Linked DNA regions of Alligator mississippiensis. The protein of the gene in region 1 interacts with the protein of each later gene in a pairwise test. Links are inferred from orthologs where the notes say so. Each region holds a gene or a part of one and is shown on either strand. Other genes may lie near its edges.

Evidence for each region.
Region 2: the proteins of CDCA7L (region 1) and CTNNBL1 interact in binary tests that used the Homo sapiens proteins (3 or more experiments, as listed by UniProt). The link is inferred for Alligator mississippiensis from reciprocal best matches to the Homo sapiens genes CDCA7L and CTNNBL1.

The regions. Positions count from the first base shown.
Region 1 is NC_081828.1:159,783,329-159,793,466, reverse strand, and holds the start of CDCA7L (cell division cycle-associated 7-like protein), read right to left. Parts: upstream 4,835-10,138; 5' UTR 4,705-4,834; coding exon 4,681-4,704; intron 1-4,680. UniProt on the Homo sapiens protein: Plays a role in transcriptional regulation as a repressor that inhibits monoamine oxidase A (MAOA) activity and gene expression by binding to the promoter.
Region 2 is NC_081832.1:819,440-830,237, reverse strand, and holds the start of CTNNBL1 (beta-catenin-like protein 1), read right to left. Parts: upstream 5,145-10,798; 5' UTR 5,133-5,144; coding exon 5,088-5,132; exon of another isoform or gene 4,968-5,087; intron 4,866-4,967; exon of another isoform or gene 4,861-4,865; coding exon 4,672-4,860; intron 3,425-4,671; coding exon 3,318-3,424; intron 972-3,317; coding exon 832-971; intron 1-831. UniProt on the Homo sapiens protein: Component of the PRP19-CDC5L complex that forms an integral part of the spliceosome and is required for activating pre-mRNA splicing.

The DNA.
Region 1 (10,138 bases):
TGTGGCAAAAAATATGCTCTCTTTTATCAAGTGCTTTTGGACTGCGACACAAAAGAGCCCAAGTAGATACTTTTGTAGACCCTTTCGGACAGTTTCCTGCAAACAAAGGAGACTGGGCCTGATAGACTTCCCCGGCTACATTTCTATATCAATCCCTCACTTTTTGTCTCATCCTTGAATGTGCAAAGAAGAGTCCTTTTAATCCTTCACCTAACATCTGCTGGTCATGGGGTTTTGCCAAATACATTGAGAATAATGTTTCTGTCTCATTCTTAAAAGCATGTCCAAAGCACACATGTACATAACACTTCCCTCAGTTTCCCCATCTCTAAATTGGAAATAAAAATATCTTATGCATCTTCTTCGAGAAAGTTGAGATCAATAACTCTTTAAGTGTAGCTAAAGTAGATGAAACACACACACAATGGAATTAATAGCATTGCATTGGTGTAACTGAGAGAATATGGCTTGTTTGTAATCATGCAAATCTTTTTGATCCTATAGTAAAGGAAGCTTGTGAATAACAAAAGGGGAAATGGGGGATTTTAACATCCCCCCCAGGTTAAGGGGGGGAGGGGAGTTAAAACTACATCAAAAGTAAGAAAACTCATAATTTTAGTGACATCTTAGTATTCAATATATGACTGATGGAGAAAATAGATGACATCTGGTGCCTCAACAAGTCAAAACAAGATTTTTCTTACTATGATCCTTACATACTACACTTGCCTTGACAAGCAAATAAAAATGAACCACGTACCCAAGTGGGCTCCAATTTTGCTTCATCAATAGTAAAAATTCTGAGGTAAGAATTTAATAGTCAGCTTGGCCAATGTGAGAAAGACAAAATGAAATATGGCTTACAATTCTGCAGCTCCATTATGAAGGGCTGGACCATTTAAAGAGATATACATTTGTTTACAACTGAGCTCTATTCAGTGGAAATCTTGAAAAATAATATATAGTCAACCTGTTTTATTAAATACATATGCAAGTTACATTTAAAAAGTTTTAATAAATCAGTATCAGCCATATGCTACCTGTGACAGCATGCTCTTCCACACAAAAAGATGGCTATTATATCATTGAAAGCAACCTCTTCTCTATTTTTGTAGTTTTTGATACAGTAAACAGTCAATTTCACTGTTTTTCCTGTAAATTCATTCTGTTTCCTTGTTTGTTTAGGACCTTTAGACACCAGGAATTCAAATCAAAACAAAACAAATCCCCAAGAAACCCAAATACAAAATCTGGGACGGAGAACTAAAGAGCTGAGCCTGAATCTATTCTTGGTGCATTTACAGTACAACCTCACAACCAACCAGGAAGACAGGGCATTTTAAAAAGGGTGTTTACTCTACTAGGGTTATGCCATAATAATGGGAAAAGTTATCAGTTCCTGCTGGTGGGATTGTTAAAAGAAACAGCTTGTTGTTATGAACAAGATTTATTATAATGAGGGTGTACTGCATTTAAAAATTAACAAGATGTTCTTTTATTTAAACTGGCATATCTAGGAAGATGCTATTAATTTTTATGGTGTTCAACAACCTCTGCAAATCTGTGTGTGGACACTCTTATACCAGGTGAACCAAAGCCTCCATTGTTTTAGGGCCTGAACACAGAAAAACACATAAAAATTACAGTGAAGTAAGCCAGGGTGTGAACTTATAGTCCATTAGCTGCTCCTCCATAACTTCCTACATGGATGCTGTGACCCTAAGGTAAAGCCAAGGTAGCCTGACTCTCAATTATCACAGCAGGCAGTTACCATGAAGCAGACAGCGGATGCTGAATTCAAACCCTAGCTTCCCTCACAGAATGTGTTTGTGTTAGTCGAACCAAATAATCCTGACTGAAGGAAATGTTCAGGCAAAGTAAATTCATTTAAAATCATAATTCAGGGTGGTCCAAGTAAATCTATTGGCATGTCCAGCACTATCTGAATGTATATGAAGAAGGGAATTTCATTCACAGATGCCGTACCAAAAGGGAAAAACCCTCTCATACCTCTAGATATATAAACAAATACCTTAACTGCTCTACCTGCCCTAACTAGCTATTGCTGCACCTAGTTACTTAGATGATTTTGCCTGAATTAAGACCACTTCTGTCTTATTTGAGATCTCTGACCTACTCCTGAATCTTGGTTTTCCAAACAGCATACATGTATGATGCCACTGCATCCTGAGTTTGCCGCCATATAAACTACTGTAGTACAGAAACAACTTCAACATAAGCTGTGCAGGTGACTGCTGAATTACTGACTTGAACAGTTTCATGCAAGCACATGGGTTTATCTGCATAAAATCACTTGCAGACCTGGAACCTTAGGATTTTATGGCTGCCTTTTTGTGACAAAATTTCAGTTAATTAGTAAATGCCAGTTTTAAAACTTAAAATGCCTGGATTTCTGCCATACCTGACATTCATACCAGGCCCCCATACGTGAAGTACATGTAAAGAGCAACATTTATTTTATACAACTCCAATTTTACCCTGAAGACGTCTATAGAACTGGGACTGGACCAACATATTCCTATCTTCTTCAAAGAGTGCATAAATTATATTGTCTGCCAACCGAAACACCTAGAAAACCAAGTACGTATTGTGACTAAAGTAGTTTATTATTCTCTACTTGGCTAGTAATTGTCCGCAGTACGTCATGAATATCTTACCAAACTTTGCACCTGAAGACAAGGAAGCCCTGGCATACATTTAAAATCCTGAAGGTATGGCTCCATGAGGCTCAGCAGGAAATAAACACATTGCTATCAGCTCTACAGAAAGAAGGAATACACAAGACAGAGGGCAGAACTGCAGTCTCTTTTGCTCCCATCAACCCCCCCCAAGAACTCCTATGAGAAAGAAGAGGAAGATTAGAAAAGATAGCTATTCTCTCTCCCTTTCACTTCCCCTTGAAAGTCTACATTTATGTATTGGGTTTTAATTTTATAGAAAAAAATGCTTTCCTTCAGGTAAAAATGCTCCCCCCGTGTAACACCAGGCATTGTAAATACTTTGCACTTACATTAAACGTTTTTGGCCAAAACATCTCAAAATTATTTGCAACCACTAATAGCCTCACAGCATCCCTAGTAATACTGCTATGTTACTTTATAGACAGAGATGGTTATAGTGCTATGGCAGAACCAGACACAGAGTTGTTCACCAGGCTTCAATAAGCATGCAAGTCAACGTACTATTTTCTGAAATGTTCCATAAAAGGGCACTACTCTGTGTTCAACTGCAAACCGCGTAAATCTACCTTCCCCATAACTTAAATTAGAGCCACTACAACTAGCTCTGACTGGTGTGATGACACGAGGGTACAATCCTGCAACAATGCTTCAAGGAGGTGCCGATTCTGCAAACACTTAAACAAGTAACTTTGCACGCCTGAGTAGCCTCACTGACATCTGAAGCAAGTGAAGCTCAACAGCCTTGCTCAGAAATGTAAAACTGAACCTACACACCCATTCCCAAGGCCTCAATTCTCCCAGCGTTTACAGAGACTTGAAGTTACAGGTGTCTGCAGAACCTGGGTCCAAACTAACACCTTGTCCATGAGTGAGAAGAGACAGAAGAAGAGAATTATTATTACTATTAAAAGTTTTACAAGTTGAGCCTTCCAGAACCTCTTTTCAAAAGATGGCCTTTTGCAAAGCAGTGACTCAGGTAACTTCTACCCAGCATCTCTGGATTTGTTAAAACCATGATAGCATCTACTGCAGCAGCCTGCTTTTACCAAATCCAAATTACAATGGAAGTCCTTTTGCACCCTCTTGACCACTGCATTGAGAGGCAAAGTGTAAGGGGCAGTAACACCATCTTCCCCAACGACATTCGGCACAGAAGTTCGAGGAAGGGCGCTTCACCACGAGTTAAATGCCTCACGTTTAGCTGCAGGCCCTGAGCTCACATCAGTACCATGGGTGTGATGGGGGGAGAACGTTTTACCTTTTGACATGCAAGAGTGTACGTTTAAACGTAGCACTAAAACCCCTGGGTTTGATTTTTTCCCCCCGATTTTCGCAGCATGTTGAGCAGGCAGCAGGATGGAGGGGGTGGAGCATGGCTGCTGCCACATTTCCTTTGCCAGCCACTCAAGCTGCAGAGTTGCGCGCCAGAAGGACACTGGCTTTTAGTTCAAATCTGAGGTGTCCAAAAAAAGACTCAAACCGAATATATCTGTATTTAAATGTCAAATAGACACACTATGTCCGGGCAGAAGCGAGACCGGACTGTCCCGAAGGGGAGGAAAAGCTGCCTCCTGCCCGCACAGCTCCAGGCCACAGCACACGGAGGCGGAGGCGGACTTTCAAACTTCTGAGGAAAAACTTCCTGCAGTTTTTGCCCGGCGGGAGAAAGGAAGGAAGGAAGGAGGCGGGCGCGTGAGGATAAACCGCGGCCCATCAGCGGGACAGCACTTTAGCACCAAGCAGCAGTAGCGACCACCTCCCCGCCCGCGAGCCCCTGCAAGCAGCCGGCAGCTGAGGAGAGGCGGCCCGGGGGCCAGGGCAGGGCAGGACCCGGCCGCGCTGCACGTCGCGAGCAGCGAGGCGGGCGCGCGGGAGCGGGGCTGCGATTGGCGCCAAAGCCGCTGCAGGCCGCGCTCGGCGGGAAGCGAGAGGGGCCCTGTGCGGCCCGGCCCGGCCCGGCCTGCTCCGAGCCCCTCACCTGGTCGTGGGTTGGCGCAGCCATGGCCCGGCGCGGCCCGGCCGCTCGGCGCCACAACGCGGCTGCTCCGGGACAGGCGGGCGGCGGCGGCGCGGGGCCCCTCGGCGCTCGCACGGCTCCGCCCGCAGCTGCGTGGGGCCCGCTGCGCCCCCTTCTGGCCTGCGCTCGGCGCCCGGCTGCCCGGGGCGGGGCGCGGGAGAGGCCCGGGGCGGGGCGGTCGCTACCTGAGCAGCGGCAGCGGCAGCGGCAGCGGCTCCCGGCTCGTCCTGCTGGCGCGGCTCTTCCTGGCGCGCCTCGGTCCCCGCTCCCTCCCGCTAGAGACCGCCCCCGGCTGGGCCGCACGTTTGACAGGGTGCCGGGCGGGTCCGATCCCCTCACTCCAGCCTCCTGCCTAAGAGGCTGCCTGTGCCGGCCATGCCTCTTCCCCTCAGGCTTCCCTAAGTATTCAGCTCCCAAAGTTGGGAAACGGCGATAAAAAGCAGGAAGGTTGGGGGTGAGTTTCCTTTTCGATGGGGGGGAGGTTGTTTGGTTTTTTTGTTGTTGTTTCAACCCCGAGGCATCCTTTCTTACAAGCTTTTCTCCTGGACAAGGAGGGCTGCTGGGATTTGTGTCTTCCTTTGGTTGGAAAAAGCCACCAGGGCTCGTGAACACAAGTGATATCTTTTATTAGACCTATTGGCGACGCGTAGGGGGTGCACACGGGTACATGTGCACCCCCTGAGGTTGGCCACTGCTAACGCTGCCGGCGGCTCCTGCAGGCAGTCACTGCTAACACCTCCCCACCCGCCTCCGCCACCGCTGGTGGCGTCTGTGGGCAATCGCCACTGGCCACGGACGCTGCCAGCTGTGTCTGCGGGTGGTCACTATCAGAGCTGGCCAGCCCTCCACAAACACTGCCGCAACCACCTACAGAAGCTCCCCACTTGCCACCGACACCACCACTACCATGGCCGCCTGCAGGAGGTTGCCACGCCCTCCCTGGCCTCAGGAGGCATGCAACATTCATGATTAGATCAACAAGATATTTGCAAAAAAAATTCTTTAATTGCAAGTTTTCGGGCACAAGCACCCTTCATCAGGCTTCCTTTGGTTGGGGAGCTTGGTTAATGGAAGTAGAGATCTGTGGCTGCAGGACACCGATGATCACCACGTTTGTGATCAAAGCCTCAGACCTTTCAGAGCCAGCAGCCAGCTCTTCATTCCCAGACAGCTTCTTGGTGAGCCTAAGAGTTGGGAGGGAGAGGCTGGGAAATGATGGGTCTTGAAACTGTCTCTCTAGCCAGCTGATTCCTACCGCAGTCACCACTGCACCTGACAGGCCACATGCTGTATGAATACTGCACAACACCCTGATGTGCACTGCCAGGGGATCCTCTGCTCTTTCTGGGGTTGCAGATTAGGCAGTTCTCCTAAATTACATTTAGAAAGAGGCAGCCAAAACTATTACATTCCAATATGAAAACAGTCTTTATGTCTTAGCCTACAGCCAGCATCATTTCTTGTCCCTGCCCCCACAAATAGAAGTAAAATAAGTAGCCAGTGCTATTCAAAGGGACTGTGGTGGGTTAGGCCCTGATTTTACAGGCATAGTGCACCTGTGTTGATTCTGATTCACATAGAAAGTAGAGTACATACCAATGCTTCTCAACCATTTTAAACCTTTTTAGATTCAAGAAAATACCAGCTCTTAGCTTTTACTTATTTGGGGTTTTTTGGGTACAGAAAAATAATAGAACAGTTCTACTGTCACAAAGAACTTAGGAAGACCAAAACACATCTGAATGTTTTTGAAACTATGGATTTCTATTTGAAACTTCTGGGTTTATCTTGTGCCTAACCTAGGTTAACACACCAACAGAGCTAATATTGTGCAGCATCCTGGTTGAGAATCACTGGTGTATACACTTGTATTTTCAGGAAATAGGCCTTAAAATACATTCTTTGTTACCATATAAAGTTTTGTAGAGAATAAAAACATTTTAATCTTTAAAAGTTTTGTATGAATATCCCTGTGTCTTTTTTTAGTCCTACTTCTGCAATACAGGGCTACAGCAGGTGAAACCAAAGGTGAAACTGATTAGCAGGGATCTTGGTTTTCTCTGTTTAAAAATTGCAAGCTCTGCAATAACCCTCCCCCCACAACCTGAAATCTGCAATTAAAATGAAACGCCGCTATATATATATAGGTATCAACTGAACACAATGGTTTATTGGTATATTTACAATTTTAAAGCAATTTGGAAGTCTATCAGTGCCTGTATCATTATAATAAAATACATTCTAAGTACCTATACATTTTGCTACTTGATTTTGGATTTTTTTATCATGGAAAACTTGAGCTTCCCCTGCTCCCTTCACTCACCAGGATGCAGGTCCAGGGCCCTCACTCCCAAAACACAGCCACCCCAGCCCTGCTGGTGCCCCTCACTCCCCACCCACAGCCCCCTACCTCCCACAGCCCTGCCAGAGGGGGCCCCCAGCTGCCAGGGCTACAGGGTTAGGGACCCAGGTCTGCAGCCCCCTGCAGTAGTGCCCAAGAACCAGCTGCTGCCCGCAGGAGGCAGCAGCTGCTGCAGCAAAGCAGAGTGCAGAGCCCAGCTCCCCTCTCCCAAGGAGAGCATGAGCAGAGCAGAGCCTGTTGGTGGGGGTGAATGAAGATTGCCCACTGTGGGCCTAGGGCTCCCCATCTTGCTGCCCTCCCCCAAGGTCTCTGTTGCCCAGTGGGCGGAACCTAGCATGACTGGGCAGGGAAGCTTTTTGCTGCTGCAAGCTCCATGCTGCCCTGGTGAGATGCCCCCTGCCTCGCTGACAGCTGCGGGAGTGGTGGCAAGGAGTTGTGCCCCTCGCTGCTGCTGGGCAGGCAAGGGGCACCTTGCCACGGCAACACAGAGCTCCCAGCGGTGGCAACGACTTCTCTGCCTGGCCCTGCTCTGCCCTGCTGTGTCAAGTCCCGCCTGCTGGGCTGCAGAGCCCCCAGGGGGAAGGCAGCAGGGTGGGGAGCCCCAAGACTGCAGCAACCAGCCCACCCTGACCCTGTGGACAAATCTGGAGGGGGCACATGCCCCTGGGAGTGTGAGCAGCAGCAGGGAGCCAGCCCTCACTTTCCACACAAGCTGCTCATGGCCCCGTCCCGCTCCCTGCTCAGGCCCTGCAGCCATATGTTTCAGTCCTAGACCTCAAGCCCCACACATCGCCCAGGCTGGGCAGGAGTCCCAGCCCCAGCCCAACTCCCCCCCTCCATCCTTATGGGGCCTCAATCGCCCCACCCCCACCCTCGCCATACTTACCTGTGGGGAGCTGCTCTCCAGGCTGCCTGGCAGACGTGTATGTGTAGGGGTGCACAAGTACATGGCGACTCCTCATATATATAAGAAGTCCAAGAAGTGTAGAAGTACACACACACACACACACACATATATACATACATATATATATATATATATATATATATATATATATATCCAAAGCATTGATAAAGAAACTATCTTTGCATCTAACTGTAATCTTTGTTAATCTTTGTAATCTTTGTAATCTATGTTAATGATACCACACGTAGGTCTTGAGAAACTACATTAGGATCTAGAGGCATAGGCAATGGCTGCAAATGCCTACATATCACCCCTGAAGCTCTCTGGGCACCTAAAATTCAGATTCTGCTCATACCTAGTAACCAAACAGAGCAGCTCAGTACCCCACTGCACTTTTTAGACCCATTGGGATCCAAAAACTAGGCACTCCCCTCACCATATCCCTGAGGGACCCGGCCCCCTCTTGAACTTGCTAACATACACCTACATAATTGGTTTCTATGCAGTGATGGCCACAGCTTTTGTTCAAAATCTTGGCCAGTGTTCATGTGGGCACCCAGTACGTGGAAGACCTAGGTTCAGTTTCCTCCTACCTGAGAGGGTTCAAATCATATATCTTACTTCTCATAAGAGTGCTGTGATCACAAGGCAAGAGCATCAGCCCGACCACCAACTCTTCCAAAAGCCATATTTTAAAAGAAAAAGAGAATGTTTTCTTTTTTTGAAAGAAAGGGCTTAGGTATCTAATTTCTAGAGAAGTCTCTGGGCGTTTTTCTGCAGCCTGACACTAGGCACTTCAGGCTTAGAGGGATGGAAGACAACAACATTTATTGTTGACCAGTTAAGCATGTGCGCTGCATAATACCTGTTGTGAATCCCATTATGAGGTACCTAACTCTCCCCAGGAAACTTAATCATGGCTGTGGGTTCTGCTGGGCAAGCTAGCAGCCCAGAAGTTAGATGTTAAAATAGTCACCTTTTTAAAACCTCACTCTTTTTGTGGTTTTAACCCTCTGTGGATGCATAACCCAGGAAATAGTCCAATTGATCCTCCTCATGTTGGGTAGGTACTGTAAGGCTGACAAAAGTAAAATAGTATATTTTTTTCCAACTCAAGTAAATACACATAGAAAAAAACTGTTGAGTGAAATGTCATTCTTATAAAACCACTATTCAGAGTAACAGCATGCTTTAAATAGGCCTACAAGAAAAAGACATGCAACTACAGAAAGGATTACTGAGTGAGCTCCCATAGATCTAGGATCGGAGCAATGGGGGTGCAGCCATACACACCCCTTCAGCAATGTGGCACACACAGTGAAGAGAGCTCATTGTACATGTGTCATACAGCCAAATGGGGTGTGGATGCACCTCCCTGGTCAGGATCCTGGATGCCAGTAAGTGCTCTGAGCTCACAGCATGTCAACACAGTTCCTGCCCAAAATCCAACATGTGTAATGAGTTCTATGATCTCACTGGCTGGTGAGCGTGGGGTCTGCACAGAGTTCTCATTTTAAACAGTTCCAGACCCCAGGGGCTCACTGTGCATGCAACACAGGGCTAAAGAAAGAGCTACAATCACACTGCCACAACCCTCCTTATGCTACTGTCACAGTCTTACAGTACCTACCCAACACTAGGAGGATAAATTGGCCTATTTTCTGGGTTATGCATCCACAGAGGGTTAGAACCACAAAAAGGTCCCGGTTACCTGCTAATTGTCATCTCTACTTACCCAATTTTCCTTCCCTGTAATCTGGACCCATATTCTGAAGCCTCCAGCAAGGAAGCTAGGCTGACATAATCAGGAAATAAATGTTCTTATATACCTGAAAAAAGTGGTAAAGGAGCGAAATGCTTGTTTTTCCCCCTATTTTGAAGAAAAATAAAATATATTATCATTACAGAGTTAGTGGTTATTGCTGGTTCTGCAGATTTGCAATGTGGCTATCATCCCCTCCCCCCAGCAGCAGAGAAATATTTGTGTGGCTGAAAATTCTGTTTATGGAAGAACTGTCATGAAAGAATTAGTATTATGGAAGAACTAGTTGCAGCAACAGGATTCACACTGGGTGTGTCTACACAAGACATTTACTGTGAAGCTGACTGTCACAGGGAAGAACAGACAGGAGGACCCCAAAATGCCAGGG
Region 2 (10,798 bases), on another chromosome or scaffold:
TGACTGGCCCAAGGTCATACAGCAAGCAACAAAAGGCCCTGTTTGGCGGGCTCCCAATCCAATGCTCTTCCCAGGGGACATTGCAGCCCTATTAATTGGGAGTAGGACACACAACACAAATGCTCTCTCCAAAACGGAGAGGAAGAGGAGGGGGTCAGTACACTTCAGGAGTGTTCGGGTTTAATGTAATGTAGATTCTATGGAAAGATGAACAGAATTTCACCAGAGGGAAATGTGGTTATAGCAATGATGGTCCAGGCACTGTGTGAGAGGTGAGGGATTTGGGGGATTATCTTTTACTGGACCATCTACAGACCTGGGCAAGATACTGGCCAACTATCTCATGTCATGTCTGCACACAAGCTGAGAGACAAATATCACGACCGCTTCAGTTCAGAACAGGCAAACAGGCATTAGACAGTGGATGCAGATCAAAACTGAGGTGCCTGAAAGAGGTTTTGGGGGTGGAACAGCATGAGTGGCAGCAGGTTGGGTCAGGTACAAGGGCAAAGCCAATGCCTGGGAAGGGGAGCCCAGGGTTTGCTTCTCTGTGTTTACAACTGCCCTTGCATGAATACCCAAAAGCGAGTTTTAAACGAAGATGAGAATTAAACAAATTATTCAAACCTCTATTAAAAATGGGGCAGGAAAGCTAAGAGCACTGAAAAACTCCTGAAAAATCTACTTGGCTAAAGAGGGTTCCAGGTGAGCAGAAGGAGACGAAGCTTGGAGGAGTGGAAGGGAAGAGAATGACAAGCAGCCACTTGTGAAAAGGGAGAAGAGGAGACAACAGCGCAGCCCTCCCGCGAGAGGCTGAACACAAAAGGATATCGGTGTTGTCGTGGCCCAGAAGCCCCAGGAGGGACTGCACAGCATTCAGCTCCACCAGCAGGTGATACAGGTCTGGCATGGTCGCAATCACATGCATTTCCTGAATGATGTCATTTAAATCCAGTTCAGACTCCATAAACCTGCAGACAGAGGCACAGCACAATTCATTAGCAGAAAAACAGGCAAAAAGCACACGGATGGGCTTCCCAGGAGGACAAAGCATTTGCACTAGCCCCCCACAAAGAGCCATTCACCCAGGCACAATGCCGGCGCATCACTTCCAACCAGCTCTGCTCACGCTGTCACAAGGCCAGTCGCTGGATCCAGATCTCACTGCAAATGCTCTGAGGGGCCTGTGCAATCCAATTCTTAGCCCCACAAGAATTTTAGGAGACTGCTCCCTATCCCATCTCGCTAGTTATATATTTTAGTTTAAGGAAAAAAAAAAAAGCATACAGGATAGGTGCAGCTGCTCGGCAAGACTGACAGCAAGGACCCTGCATAAACGAGTAATGGGGTTGAACTCTCCATCTCAACAGAACTGCGTTTCACAAGACATCTAATGCCAAGGTCTCCAGAGAGAGCTCTTTTCCCGATTTGCCTTGTATGTATTAGTACATCGGTTCTTTTAGCCCCCAACAAAGCATGTAAAGAGGATATGAGTGCTTGAGGCAGAGAGACCAAAAACCCCAGACAGAGACCCCATTAGGGAAAATCACTTTCAGCAGTATCTGCCTTTCAGAGAAGACTGTCTTTTGGGCATCTGACAGTGCGCTTCACCAGTGGGAGAAAGGACCGTGCCAGAGAGCAGGCAGCAACGTGGTACCAAGCACCAGCACCCTGCATCAGGACTATAGCCAACTGAGAAGGGGCCACAGGCTTTGTCTGCCACATCAGAATACATCTTTGGCTTCACACCAGCCAAACTCCTCTTCCCCACCACCATGGAAGAGGACACAACAGCAGCAACTGGCACAATTCAAATATGCCAAGAAATGGCAGGTGAGGAATGGGTGCTGCCACTGCAGCGGAAAGATCCCAGCACAAGAGCTCCCAAAAACCTGCAGTGTTCAAAATACTGCAGGTCTGGGGACACACTTCTGGGGGAACCTGTGGTTAGCTGATCTGACCCTCCCGTTCTGCCGAGTGCAGCGAGTGCTGGCAGTTCCCACAATGCGAGGCAGGATTCCCTCCACGTGCAAATGTCAGCTGCACGGAGAAGAAAGGAAGGGGCAAATTACTGCATCAAAACACGATGGAGAATTTATTCGTTTGGAAAATAACGCCCTCAAATTCACTCTCAAATTTTCACCCTCCAAAACACTTGCCATATGCACTGACAGAGTAAAACCCTCCTTGCATGTGGTGATAAGTCAAAGTGATGGGTCATTGGAGGGAGACAGCATCATGGGCAAAACAGAGAGGAAAGAGGTAACAATGAAGAGAAATGGAAGACAAGAAATGCAAGATCCAAAGGAAAACAATGCTATGACTGTACAAGGAGCAACAGTCTCAAGTAGCAGCAAGGCAAGTTTTAGGAAAAACTCTCACGAGGAGGGTGGTGAAGCACTGGAAGGGGTTACCCAGAGGTGGTGCAGTCTCCACCCTTGGAGGTGTTTAAGACACAGCTAGACAAAGCCCTGGCTGGGATGATGTAGTTGGGGCTGGTCCTGCTTGGAGCAGGGGGAGGTCACGACTAGTCCAACTGAGGTCCCTTCCACCCTCCTTGTCTGTGATTCTACGATGGGAACACTTTATAGAGGGAGAGTTGCAGCAGACGGACAATGACTTGTAGGAAAGCAGTGGAGACTAATGTAAAGGACAAGTAGAAGGAGGGGAAGCAAGGGAAACAGTATATTTTACAGAAAGTTTGCTTTATCCAATCATTTGAAAGTTGGCCAGCAGAAGGCCTGCACAGTTTTAGAGAAGGTAACAAATCTGTCACCATCCTGGTAGCAAACAAGGCCAGGACACCTCCTGACCTGGGAGCAGCTGAGCAGGTGGCACTTCTGCAATCAGGCCTCACAGTCAGATGTCTAAGAAAGGCCTGAGGAGACCACTCTAAGCTCCCACTTTTTTTGAATCTGAGCCCCCACAACAGATAAACAACAGACAATACATTTTAGATTATTAAAACATCTATCACAATTTTAAAGCATCATGAACACAGCAAGGAAATCAATATAGTTTTAAATAAAACAGAACTGCCTTCCCAATTCCTTGCTATTTTCCTTTTTGGGCTGCAATTGCCAATGATGGCTTTTGGCAGCGCACCTGCTACTAGAAGCACTCTCCGGAATACTCATTTTTTTAAATTAAATTATCTTTAATATTTCAAATAAAGTTTATGAGTAATATCTGGTTAAGTGCCTTTACTCCCGTGAACCTTCCTCCCACTAAAAGGGATAAGATCTCTACAGTTCAGAAAGGCTGAGGCTGGAGAGAAGGGGCAAGCAGCTAGGCAGAGGAACCGAGTAGGGCCTTACTTCTCTGGGTTGTCTGGGAATTTGATCCGCAGCTCTTGGTTTTTGTAAGACCTCTTCTCAAAAGTAAGAATCATCTTCTTCACTGAGCTTTCATCCAGTGGTTCCTCCTAGTCAAGGGGGAAAAAAAAAACCTCAGAGCTTAATCCTTCAAAGATGGCTACAAGAGCCACCTGGCAAGACACAAGAGAGTAATGAGCAGAGCATGCTGGCTGGGGCCAGCCTGGGCCCAGATCAAGACACGATACAGCAATGTAATGAATAACAGGTCCTGGAGGAAGCTCTGTGGAAGTCTCGCTGGAGAACATTTTCAGATTAAAAAGTCAAGTTAGCGAGATATGTTTCCACGAGGCCCGTGTATACGTGAGAGCATCTGCTCCGCACCTGAAACGTTTCCTAGCGGCACTGATGTGAACTGCGGTCCAAGGAAGTGACCTTGAAGGTCTGGCACGACCAGGTACAGCAGAGGCAGGCTGCCTGGAGGGGGCCACTCTTGGCAGAGAGGAGCAGGGCACTCGCACACCCTGCCGCAAAGACTCTCCGATCCTAGGCAGTCAACTGGGCATTTGCTTCTGTCCATTCATCCTCAGTCTCAAATGCTAGGGAAATCCTGCATTATCTGTCTCAGGCATCAGCAGCAGCAGCAGCAGCAATAGCTCAACATCAGAAACTAAAGGGAGATTTCAGGGAGATGAATGCTGGCAATGCTGCACACGAAGGACAATGATATTTTACAAACCCACGTGACTGCAGCAGTGAATATCACTTGCTTTCCATCAAACAGGACAGAGGTAGCAGGAAGCAAATATCTCCAGGATTCATAGCAATCTGCACGTCACATTTATAAAGTGATCTTTTCCTTGCCCTTTGGCAGAAGGGCCTGTCCTGTATCGGATTCCTGTCTCCTGGGCTTGAAATCATTTACCCTTGACAGCTGCTACCCCACTCCGCTGACCCAAGCCCTTTCGTCTGTAGAAGGATGTTTGCTCATTTGCTGCTGCTGCTGCTGCAGACCTCGCGAGGGGAGGGCGGCTGAAGCCGTGTGGCTGTGAGTACTGACGAGAGTAATGGATTTAGAAAACTAATTAGAAGCCTGAGGCTTTTTCCCCCTCAGAAATTTGAGAAGAGTCAAGCTGTTTCAGCCTAAAACAGATATTATTTGCAAAAGTTCCCTCCACACCTGCACAGAAGTATTTTTAGCTCTCCCCTCCCTTCCAGAGAAGCCAGCTTTGGATTCAGACAACTCTACAGCACCTTCTTCTTCCCTTTAAAGTCCCAGGGTGAAAACCCCTCTGCTTTGAACAGACACTGCTGCCTTTGGCAGACAACCCCTCCCTGCAGAGCATTGGCAACCAACCTCCTCCTCCTCCTCCTCTCCCTCTTTGTCCATTATCTGAAGGAGTTTCTTCTTCTCATCGTCAGCTTCCTCCAAAGCCGCGACATCCTCCTCCCGATGCCGAGTGCGCTCCCGCGAGCCGACTTGCTTCCGCCGGGCTTTGATCTCCTCCTCTTCCTCGTCGCGGGGTCTTTTTGTCCCCCTGTTGGGCTAAGGTGAGAGAAAAAGCATGTGGGAACAGAGTGAGCGAATCGAGAAGGTTTGCCCCCGGGGGTGGCTTGCATCCCGATGACAGAGCTTGTTTGTTTTGCACGCAGCTGATCAGAATTGCAGATCTGCCTACTATACATTCACCCGCTTGGAAAACTGGAAGGGGAATTAATTCAATTCACAGAACTAGATGAATGGCACCGGCAGGAGCTGTGACAATGTCCTACCTGCTTTGACCCTCCAACAACAACCACAGCAAATATCTGCATCATGAAAAAAGCCGCCGGTACTTCAAATCTGAGCGCTGGCCAGAGCAACCCGACCCTGGGGTTGTGAAGCAAACTGATTGCAAGTCCTTGGTTCCCAGAGGCGATCTCTCATGAGCCAATTCCCATGTACCTTCATGTTTTACAGGTAAAGGCCAATTCATTAAAGTGTCCAGTGCTGCACACACACCCCACAGCTCTCCCGGCTCAGACCCAATTCTTCTGTGTACCCTAATACCACCCCCACAAAGACCAGGGGAGTCTGGGGACACAACGAATGCAGAATAGGCCCTGCATCCGCACACCCAGCGCGGTACTGTTATTCGGTGCAGCTCTGCAGAAGATGGACCCCCCATCCTAGGCAGAACATGTGCACACTAGGGGTTGCTTGCGATTGCTTGTTTTCATCCACCGTTTGTAGTCACGAGGCAAAATTAAAGATTAAAGATAACCTGCCAAGAACAAGAAAGAACATGCGCTCCTTCCTCATTTAAGGTGCATCTGGAAAGCCCCAAAGGGCTTGTTGTTGGGACTTCTCGCCTTGGCAAAAAGAGAAATATTAAAATGAATCTCCCGTCTTTTGCAGGACAAGGAAATGGGAATAAAACCTCTCCACTTTATGCTGAAGAACCGCAGCAGGTTCTGCTCCTAATTGTTTTAACTGGTGTCCGGCATTAACAAAAAATGGCTTTTAAAGGGAAGCAAAAATCCCTTCCCCGTCCAGCTGCTCTAGTGCAGGTTGCACGGACTAAGGAAACAAACACCCTGCGAGTTCGTCACTCAGCCACGATCTTTCATGCTGAGCGGAGGAGGAAAAGCCTAACGTTTTATTAAACCACAGCAAGCTAACATCTGCTCTCAATGCCCCCCCACCCCCCGGTCTTCGTCAGCCATCCAAAGGCACAGCGAGGAAGGCGCAGATCTGCTTTGCAGGTCGTTATCTGCCACCTCGAACGTCACATGCCACTTCCAAGAACATGGCAGCTGCTGCCGCGCTGCAAGCCCGACTCTTCTGGAATCACAAATCATCAGCGGCGGAGAGGGAAGGGGCGAGAGCACTGCTCCTGCCAGGTCCCCAGAGCGCGCTGGCTTCAAAGCAGGCCCCTGCAGCTCCCCAGCCGGCGAGGAGCTCCAGCCCCCGGGGAGGGGACGCTCATTCTTCCCGGCTCAGAAGGCAAGACCTGCTGAGACTCCGATTAGAAGGAGCGCGCCACCACAGACCAGCTCAGAGGCAAAGCCAGGGAGCAGCTCATTTCTTTTCATTCGGTCCTGTATATACACCGTGACAGACAAGTCAGTGCGAGCGCGCCTGCCGACACAGCGCACACGTGGGCACTGGAGCAGGCCTGCGCAGGAGCCAGCTTTGCTTTTTAGATGGACATAAAAGCAGCCCAACTAGGGGCCGCTTTAGACTGCACTGGTTTAAACTAAACCGGTTTAAACTAAACCGGTTTAGTTTAAACCAGTGCAAACTGCACTGCTTGGATGGGCTGCAAAATCCGGGTTGGCAGAGCTTCAACGTGAGAGACGGCAGGACGGTGCTGGCAAGCGCTAAGCCCTGGTGTCCTGCCAGCTGTGTTCGGCACGCTACTCAACGCTATAGTCCCCCGCCGCTCTGCCTGCAGCCAGCGTCGCCCCGCAGCCCACGGGCCGCGTGACACGCCAGGTTCAGAGCCGAGGTTCCCTCCGTCCCCATCAGCATGTCAACAGCTGCTGAAGTGACAAACACGTGTACGCCGCTGTAGACCATTTTGGCATCTGCAGGACTGGATGCTATTTATTTTTTTAATTTAAAAAGCAAAAAAACCAAAAAAGCATGCCCTTACACGTCTTCAGGGCACGGTAACGGCTTACAGCGCCGCACGGATCAACTTAGGAACAACATATTGTCTCCAGCAGACAGTAATTTGAACACTCCCCTAGCAATTAGCAACACTCAGCGTAAAACCAAAATAAAGATGCTCTTCTCGCTAACACCACCGCAGGGAGAAGCCGAGGTAAACAGATGTGCCAAGCACAAGCCCTAAATAGTCGCCCCCGGTGCTGTCCCACACAGAGGGAAGCAGACCGATTCAACCGCCCCCTTCGCCCCCAGGTTAAAGGGCAGAGCACCTCCACTCATTCACACCAGCCCGGCAAGTGATTTCCAGGGATCCTCTGATTTTAAAAAATCCCCAATTTCTGGCTTTGAAAAAAAGGAATGCCAAACCCGCATTTTTCCATGATTAAAATGAAACACTACTATATAGCTAGATCAATATATTAGTGGCGTTTCATTTTAATCATGGAAAAATGTGAATTTGGGGTTACCTTTTTTAAAAAAAATGAAAATTGGGGATTTTTTAAGTCAGAGAAAACCAGGATCCCTGGTGATTTCCATTGGAAATTGGGCCTGACTTCTAGAGCCCTGGAAGAGTTTGAGAAAAGACAGCTTTTGCTTCGTATGCCCCCCTGTATGTCTGACCCCAGACTTCAGGCTCTCATTTCTCTGCGCCTCATTTTTTTAAATTAAAAAAGCAACGAGACTGTGGCTGCAATGATGGGCTACGGCAGCCCGCGCTTTGTCAGATGCGAAGTAATGTACCATAGGAAGAAACCACCCCACCAGAACAAATTCTAAATTAAAACTCCACCAGGAAACCAACTCCATTTCCTCTGAGCGTGCAATCTATATTATCAGCATTTACAATCTGCTTCAACCTCAATTATATTATCTTTTTTTGGGGGGAGGGAGGAGGGAAATAGGAATACATCTATAATATGTAATAAGAGTCATTATGATAAATTATGAAACCGCCTGGAGTGTAATTATTAATGCTGCCAACGTATTTGCAACAGCACATAATTGAATTCCCAGACAAACTTTGTTAAACAGGAGTTAAGGTTTAGCACAGCATCAGTTACTGAAGGGGGGCAACGTCTCGCTAAGCACACTGCGGTTATAAAAGGAGCAATAATAAAATCCAAGAAATCCAGAGCTGAAGTAAAATGCCTGGAGTTCTGCTCATTTAAAAGTATGAAGATGCAGAGTTGCAGCAGATTGATTGAGATCAGCAAGCCTTTATTTCAATTATTGATCTCAATCTCATTTTGCATTTGTCGTTTTCAGCTATTTTCTTAAAGAAAGGTTGATTCTTGCCAGCTGGTAACTGGTCACATGTTTCCAATTACAGATAGGCTTTATACTAAAATCGGTACTTTTGCTGACCGGGAACATGATATCTGTTTAAGCCATTATCCATCTTAACAAACATTTATGCAGTGCTAAATATTGCACCTTTTACAACACCACTCACGTGGTAAATAAAGGCTTTACTTCCTACAGAATGTTCTTTTTTTTAAACTCATGAATTGTGATATGCTGCATTTAGATGGAAATTTAATTACAAATACACAGGAACAAGAGTTTAAAACTGTTTATTCAGTTAAAAATCATAGCACGTGCTGCTTTATTAAAACATGTTTTTCATGTCAACGTATTAAGTGATTTGCTCGGAGGGTTTATGCTCGCAGTCTCTGCCAAGAGGTTAGAATTAGTGTCCTGTATATTTAGAAACCCCCTCCCCTCCCTCGACAAATCGGAAGAAGAAAACCAGCTTTCCTGCTGCTACCTCCCAGTCTGCAACTGAGCTGGCCCCAGAGCAGAACTGGCTCAAGAGCGGTGGAGACGAGGAGGCAGATCACTCCAAACAGCGACGTCTTCCCCAACAGCAGTCCGACTTCCTTGAAACTTCAACCCAAGCTCTCAACACTTGCACTTTTAAAATTTAACTGAAATTCTTTTCCCCGGATTGAAATTTCCTCGTAGGAAATTTAGGCTTCACTGTAGATAAGCAATTTCAAATTTAAATTTTAACAATAGTTTGTTTTAAAAAATGTGTTTCAGTGAAAAATCAGGTTTTTCTAAAGCAGACCTTTGTCTGCTCTGTGCACAGTTATGATGCCCAGAGGATGGCGCCTCTGCCCGTGTAGCTGACATTCAACCTTCGCAATATATTATGGTTGCTCTCAAAACCGCGCAGGTCTGCTTTTTTCATAGATTCATAGATGTTAGGGTCGGAAGGGACCTCAATAGATCATCGAGTCTGACCCCCTGCATAGGCAGGAAAGAGTGCTGAGTCTAGATGACCCCAGCTAGATGCGAATCTAACCTCCTCTTGAAGACCCCCAGGGGAGGGGAGAGCACCACCTCCCTTGGGAGCCCGTTCCAGACCTTGGCCACTCGAACTGTGAAGAAGTTCTTCCTAATGTCCAGTCTAAATCTGCTCTCTGCTAGCTTGTGGCCATTGTTTCTTGTAACCCCCGGGGGCGCCTTGGTGAATAAAACCTCACCAATTCCCTTCTGTGCTCCCGTGATGAACTTATAGGGAGCCACAAGGTCGCCTCTCAACCTGCTCTTGCGGAGGCTGAAAAGGTCCAGTTTCTCTAGTCTCTCCTCGTAGGGCTTGGTCTGCAGGCCCTTAACCATAGGAGTGGCCCTTCTCTGGACCCTCTCCAGGTTATCCGCATCCTTCTTGAAGTGTGGCGCCCAGAATTGCACGCAGTACTCCAACTGCGGTCTGACCAGCGCCCGATAGAGGGGAAGTATCACCTCCCTGGACCTATTTGTCATGCATCTGCTGATGCACGATAAAGTGCCATTGGCTTTTCTGATGGCTTCATCACGCTGCCGACTCATGTTCATCTTGGAGTCCACTAGGACTCCAAGATCCCTTTCCACTTCCGTGCCACCCAGCAGGTCATTCCCTAGGCTGTAGGTGTGCTGGACATTTTTCCTCCCTAGGTGCAGCACTTTGCATTTCTCCTTGTTGAACTGCATCCTGTTGTTTTCTGCTCACTTGTCCAACCTATCCAGGTCTGCCTGCAGCTGTTCTCTGCCCTCCGGCGTGTCCACTTCTCCCCATAGCTTTGTGTCATCTGCAAACTTGGACAGAGTACATTTGACTCCCTCGTCCAAGTCGCTGATGAAGACATTAAAGAGTATCGGTCCAAGGACCGAGCCCTGCGGGACCCCACTGCCCACACCCTTCCAGGTCGAGACCGACCCATCCACCACGACTCTTTGGGTGCGGCCCTCTAGCCAATTCGCCACCCACCGGACTGTGCAGTCATCCCAGTCACAGCCTCTTAACTTGTTCACCAGTATGGGGTGGGATACCGTATCGAAGGCCTTCCTGAAGTCTAAGTATACGACATTCACCCCTCCTTCTGTGTCCAGGCGTTTCGTAACCTGGTCATAGAAAGAGACTAGGTTGGTCAGGCACGATCTGCCCGCCACAAACCCATGCTGGTTTCCCCTCAGCATAACTTGTCCTGCCGGGCTCTCACAAATGTGAGCCTTGATAATTTTTTCAAAGACTTTACCAAGGATGGAGGTGAGACTGACTGGCCTATAGTTGCCCGGGTCCTCCTTCCTCCCCTTTTTGAAAATGGGGACCACGTTAGCCCTTTTCCAGTCCTCCGGGACTTGGCCCGTGCGCCTTAAATGCATCTTAAAAGCTTTTCCAACCAGGAGATCTTGTAACACCCTCTGCTCTCCTGTGAAGTATGAATTTTCATTTCCGCCTAGGAAAAATTTTACAATTTTTGTATTCTCCTATGCCTGAGGAAGGGCGAGCATGACCAAAAGCTTACAAATAAAGACTTTTTTTGCAAATATCTAGTTGGTGTAA